2 linked regions of the Kluyveromyces lactis genome follow. The protein of the gene in region 2 interacts with the protein of the main gene of each other region in a pairwise test. Links are inferred from orthologs where the notes say so. Each region holds a gene or a part of one and is shown on either strand. Other genes may lie near its edges.

Region 1 (3,797 bases), on a different chromosome or scaffold from region 2:
ACACCACCCTGTAAATTGTCTTCCCATTTATTAACCACAGGGACGTCTGTCCCTGGATATATTGTGGTTTCTGAGAGCATTCTTAGATCAAAGGATCGTATATGGTCATCATAAGAGCCTGTGATTAAACTTGTTGGCTTGTTGCCTCTAAATGTCTCCCTAGCAGCCTTAATTGCCGTAACACCAGCTTGATGAATTTTTGAATTGGACCAGATCTTTTTGCCTGAATTCAAATCATGAGCTGCAATTGCAGAGTCGTCACCACCAGTGAATACAACATCTTTCAAAGGAGCCAAACAGCCGAACTCGCCGGTCCAGCACTCCAAAGAATGTTTGAAATGAAAGATTTGTTCATGGTCATTCTGAACATTTATAACTTTGATGTCTGCATTTGGCACCTCAATATAATTTATTGTTGAGGAGTCGAAATACGATGGCTCCACCTCCTCTATAAAGCATATTTCACCATGTATGATATCAACAGTAGCAAAATCCCCATTAGTAGTGGTTAAAAGTACGAGATTATCCAGCAATGGAGAAAACTGGAGAGACGTTATTAGACATGTGGGATCAAATACTTGAAGGTTGTTCAATAGTTTGATATCAATTGATGAATTATCATCGTCGACAGATATCGTCCACAGAATCATATTACCGGTTGAATGAGCTGTTGCGAGTAAAGTATCATCGAATGGATTGAGCTTCAAATCTAAAATTGCCCCATAGGTTTTTATGCTAGAAAGAAGGTTCAATTCTTTATCATAAACCTCAATAGAGCCAGTTCGATTGCCTGAGTCCTTATGCAAGAGATAGGTACCCACAATGATAAATTTCTCTCTTAAAATACACAAGCAACATGGAGGAAGACGCGTGGTAACCCTTTTATCAGCTGCAGTTTCTTCCATTCTGCAGAAACTCTTGACTTCTAATTTTGTCGCTCCTCTAAGGTGGTATGCAATACCTATGTTGGAGTCGTACTCTGCATCCTCATCATGCGGGTGCTTTTGTAAAGATTGTTGAGCCATCCATCTGTTCTAGTTCAGGTTTACCACACAATTTCTTTTTTACACTTTACGTACTAGCGGAAAATTTTAATATGTTAACCAGCTCATCTCATCATAAGCAAAGCATCAGCACAACAATCTTAGCAGTTAACGGCAGGTCTACAAGCAACACGGACTAGCAGCATGCCACCAAAGGAAACAACAAAGAAGTGGAAACCTCCAAAGGGTCCAAAGCCTATTCAAAGGAAGAATAAAAACACTATTGGGTTAGGTAAGGCAATTCAAACTGCAAGACGTAAGGAAAATGAAGTGCAGTATTTGCCAGATGGTGAAGAACGTTTCACTACCGATAAGCACGAAGCTAATTGGGTAAAATTGAGATCTGTTACTCAGGAATCTGCATTAGATGAATTTTTGAGTACTGCTGAGTTAGCAGACAAGGATTTCACAGCGGACAGACATTCTAATGTCAAGATCATCAGAATGGATAACGGTGCCGATGCAGCCACATCCCAGGGATTTAGTTTGACCAATGAGCAGAAAAGTAAGATCAACGAGAAGCAGAGATTACATGCTAGAGAGTTGATTGTCCCAAGAAGGCCTAAGTGGAATGAATCTATGACCAGATTTGAATTAGAAAGGTTAGAAAAGGAAGCATTCTTGGAATGGAGACGTAAATTAGCCTATTTGCAAGAAGACAACGAGGATTTGTTATTGACTCCATTCGAGAGAAACATTGAAGTTTGGAGGCAGTTGTGGAGAGTTGTTGAGCGATGTGATCTAGTAGTCCAAATCGTGGATGCCAGAGATCCATTATTATTCAGATCCACAGATTTAGAGAAATATGTGAAAGAAGTGGATGACAGGAAACAGAATTTACTTTTGATCAACAAAGCGGATTTATTAACAAGAAAGCAACGTATTATTTGGGCCAAGTACCTTCTCTCGAGGGGCATCTCTTTTACATTCTTTTCTGCTGCCAAGGCTAATGAAATATTAGAGAGACAAGAGGAACTAGGGGATGAATACGTTGAAGAAGAGGACGATGAGGAAATACTGGCTACAGAGGAAGAAATTGAAGAACTTGATGGGGAAGAAGTGAACAAAGAAATTCTGGATAAAATTAACATACTGAAGATCGATCAACTTGAAGAATTGTTCTTAGATAAAGCGCCAAACGATCCGCTACTTCCTCCATTGCCCGGTCAAGAGCCAATCATACAAATAGGTCTAGTGGGTTATCCAAACGTTGGTAAGTCTTCCACTATAAATGCCTTGGTGGGTGCCAAGAAAGTTTCTGTCTCTTCTACCCCTGGTAAGACCAAACATTTCCAAACTATCAAGTTATCTGATAAGGTAACGTTATGCGACTGTCCAGGTCTAGTTTTCCCTAATTTTGCATACAATAAAGGTGAATTGGTGTGTAACGGTGTTCTACCGATCGATCAGTTACGTGACTATATTGGGCCATCGACATTAGTGGCAGAAAGGGTCCCTAAATACTTTTTGGAAGCCATTTACGGTATCCATATTCAGACCAAATCCGTAGAAGAGGGTGGGAATGGTGAAGTACCAACTGCACAAGAATTACTCGTTGCTTATGCCAGAGCTCGTGGTTATATGACACAAGGTTTTGGTGCCGCAGATGAATCTCGTGCCTCTCGTTACATTCTCAAAGATTATGTGAACGGTAAACTCCTGTACATTAATCCACCGCCTCACATGGACGATGATACGCCATATACCAGAGAAGAATGTAAGGAATTCAACAAAGATTTATACACGTTCAGTAAATTACCTATCAACAGACAAGAGCAACTTGCAGAAGCTGCCAAACACAAAGGTATACAAGATTTGGATCTTGCTCGCGATTTAAGTCGATTAACGTTCTCTGCTCATATTGGTGGTGATGGTGATAAAGTACAAGCTAAATCTGTCAACCATGGTGGTAAACAAGCAGCCTTGTACAACGTAGCTGATGAACTTGACAAAAATTTCTTCCATTTGAACGGTGTTCAAGGCAGACTTACGAACCCTTTCCATAAGCAAACCGTCGCCAACGAAAATGGTAAGAAGCATAACAAGAAGAACAAGAAGAGTAAGAAAAAGGCTTCCATGTTTTCCGATTAATGTAAGTACTATCTAAATTCATCCTAAACTCTTATATATATATAAATCCACTGTTTGCACAGTCTATTATCCCCATTCATTATGGAAATGTAACTGCATATCCTTTATATCTTCCTTAGCTGCCCTGCTTCCGGTTATAAGACCTATGGTTAGCATGCAACTTGTCACTGCATTACCCGGTGTTTACTGAAAAATTTGATGAACCAAAAGAAAAGGATACAAAACTTGGTTAAAGTTGGTTTACTTTATACTTGACCTCAGTACATGGTCCAGTTGATAAGTATTCTTGTCATTTGTGGTTATCTTTTTGGTTCCTAGCTCAGCAAACAAGGGCTCTTAAACACATTTCGGCATGTTCAATTATGGTTCGCGTTGTGGTTATCATGGCGCAGACTTATTCCACGCATGTAGAAGTAAGCTCAAGATGCCCAGAGCTGGGATACTCCCATTTAACGCCCTTTTCGCTAACAACAACTGAATTCCTACAGTTTGTAGTTTGATAGTAGGTGGGCGGAAATATTACCCATTTAATTGGTTCAGTAGTTTCCTCTGAAATATTATGAGAGTCGTATGAATTTGTATATCAATAAGATTTAGCAATAGTTAACCAAGTTCAGCCTTATGTTATACTTACCATCGGTAGATACATTAAGTAGCACTCGG
Region 2 (2,882 bases):
CTTCCCATATGCGGCAAACTTTTCTCTTCTATTTGATGGTGTAGTCTTGGTGGAAATTCCTAACTCGTTCAAATATTCACGGTTTTCTTCGGGGGTAGCCTCTGGAGGTGGCTTGATCTTGAAGAACTTCTTAATACCCATGGTTTCACTACGGTAACAGCAACCTTTTAACCTTATTTGATCGATGTTCCCCTTTTACCTTGTCTTTACCTATCTAAAAATTGATGTTAAAGGAACTACAACTTTTCGATTCTTTTGTTTCATTTAAATTTAAAGGTTTCTTTTGGGTCCAGTAGTACTTAGTGAACCACGATGCACAAAATACAAAAGAAAGAAGGAAATAAACAGTATGGGGTTGATGCAAATGCCAAAGAGCAATCAAAATAAAAATTGTACTATACAGATCCAGAGATATACACCAATATTACATTAAAAAATGGGGCGATAATGGGGGCCAAAACGATATAAATGACAGAAGAGAGCGATTGTATCAATTCCTTTTATGAGTAAGTTTCGATCAAAGTATCACGCAAGTTACCAGAGATAGCTTCTGGTTGAGCGTCTTGTAGACGGAAGATAGATTCGATCACACTTAATTCTGGAGCGGTGGTATCTAGACCAGTAACTGCCAAATAGTCGTTCACGACCATACCAGCACCGACGACTTGCGAACCACGGTTCACAGTACCAGCAACTAGTGGGACTTGCAACAAAGAGGAAAGTTCTTCTTGGTCTTGTACTGTAGTCTGAGGATGCACTAGACCACCTTGGTTAGACAACGCACAATATGAACCAACAAGAACGTTACCCGAAATTGTTTGACGGAAAACTTCAACACCTAAGACATCGGCAATCAACTCCTCAGTTTCTCTGTCGATGTCTGGATGAACCAAAGCAACATAATCATTACAACAGATAACATTACCTAACGCAGATAATCTCTCCTCAACTCTTTGAACCTTCACAGCATCTGGCAAACAGTTTCTCAAATGTTGTAATTCTTGGTCGGTAGTTTGAGTTGGAACCAATAACCCTCTACGGTTACCAGCAGTCATACGACCAACAATCCTCGTACCTGCAATAGTGGTATGAGCAATAGGAATAGCATCTCCTAATTCGGCTTCAAACGCAGAATAAAAGTTCTCCGAACCACCAAGTGCCACCAAACAGTACGAGTTAGTTAGCTTCGAAAACACACCAATTTCGTTAGAATTCTCAAATTGTGTCCTAGTCGCCATAATTTCAGTTGATTTATCTGCAGTGGTATACTGGCGTAACAAGCAGAACTAGTGTTTATAAGTCAGAAGAACTGTACTAATTCAAGCCGAATCAACCATCCGCAAGATGAGATGAGATGAGCTTAGAAATTATCCAGTGAAATCTTTAAAATTTTCCATATTGCAGTGTTTTAAAGAAACGAAACACAAATTAGGTTACCCGGAGAAGAACACACATACAGTACTATATGGGTATCTCGTACCCTTATAGATGTATAAATTTGATCAGTGAGAGTTATCCAACAACCGTTCGAAGCTTAGACGAGAAATAGCTCTCCATTTCACATTCTTTCTTCTGATCACCAGACGATTCAACGCAGGGTATACCGTACACCTGAGCGTGTTTTATTTGTTACCCGCACTTGCGTCGAATATCTTCACTAAGTCGTCAATTTCCGACATTTAAACAGCTTCAAGCTGAAAAAGCGACACATTCACAACAAATATATTGACACAAAAGCATGTTGCATGTATCTAACCTGCAGTAAGTTACATTTACGAAAACATTTTAAAGCTGTTCGATCAGTGGCAAGCAATTCATAAGAATCAAGTTTCACTGAATCATTTTTCTCTTTCCAAGATGACTGATTGTAATAGTACAACGGAGCGCAGTTTGACGTCTGGATTGGAAGCAATGTCATTGAAGGCAATATCCCCATCGAAGTTGAATAGAAGGCATAAAGTCTCGAGCAAACCTGATAAATTGAATGAAAATGTCTGTTTGGATCGCAGAGCAGAAGTTTTGGTTAATACGGAAAATGAAATGCCAACAGAAATTGTCAGTAAGATAAAGAACGAAAACTTCCATTTGCAATTGGAATTGGAACAGAAGAACCATGAGATTTCCAAATTAAAGTCAATGCTCTTACCTAAACTGACACCACCTGCAATTGATCTAAGATTAACGACAAGTTTAAAAGACCCTTTGTACTACCATCCGGAAAGCAACAAAATTCCCGGTATGTCTGGGGCTACAGTGACAAATTCAGATTACGTGTCCCATTTCTCATCATCATCATACGATGGGAATAGAAATGACGTTAGAGAGACCTCAACCGTTGCTAGTACTACAATATCAAGAAAGGAAAAAAACCATATGTTGTTCACTAGGAATATTTTACCCTTTATTCGGGATTCCATCAACATGTATAAAAACTCCCATGTTTTAAATGAAGAAGTGGTCCCGATAGAAAAAGAGCTCGATAAGTTTTATGATAACTCCTTGAAGAAGGACGAAAAATGTGAAGTATTTTCTAATGTACTCTTAGGGTTACTCAGGGTACAGAGATTAAATATAGCGGCGTTGAACAGAGAATTAGAGTTGAAAACAGTGGAGAGAAAAATGGATTACTTGGCAACATTGTTTTTGGATCCACAAGAGTATGAAATACCACGTCATAGCTCCATGAAACGAATCAGAGATCAGATGTTGGATGTGATTATTTCTCTATATGGAGAATTACCAAATCCTAACCAAAGGGCAGCAAGAGAAATGAAATATCAGCAGCCACAACAGGTTCCTTTGAAGATAAAATCAGATTCAAAACTGAACCGACAGTCTCATAATCCTGAAATACTACCTATTGGTTATTCAAACTCATCTTC

The links. The genes of interacting proteins can lie anywhere in the genome.
Region 1: the proteins of TIF6 (region 2) and LSG1 interact in binary tests that used the Saccharomyces cerevisiae proteins (3 or more experiments, as listed by UniProt). The link is inferred for Kluyveromyces lactis from reciprocal best matches to the Saccharomyces cerevisiae genes TIF6 and LSG1.

What each region holds. Positions count from the first base shown.
Region 1 is NC_006042.1:641,268-645,064, reverse strand, and holds LSG1 (ribosome biogenesis GTPase LSG1), read left to right. Parts: upstream 1-1,187; coding exon 1,188-3,134; downstream 3,135-3,797. Other genes in the region: RRT2 (diphthamide synthase), read right to left, coding at 1-1,025. UniProt on the Saccharomyces cerevisiae protein: GTPase required for the nuclear export of the 60S ribosomal subunit. Acts by mediating the release of NMD3 from the 60S ribosomal subunit after export into the cytoplasm.
Region 2 is NC_006040.1:175,407-178,288, forward strand, and holds TIF6 (translation initiation factor 6), read right to left. Parts: upstream 1,239-2,882; coding exon 501-1,238; downstream 1-500. Other genes in the region: SEC9 (Sec9p), read right to left, coding at 1-141; KLLA0_D02068g (uncharacterized protein), read left to right, coding at 1,858-2,882. UniProt on the Saccharomyces cerevisiae protein: Binds to the 60S ribosomal subunit and prevents its association with the 40S ribosomal subunit to form the 80S initiation complex in the cytoplasm. Is also involved in ribosome biogenesis.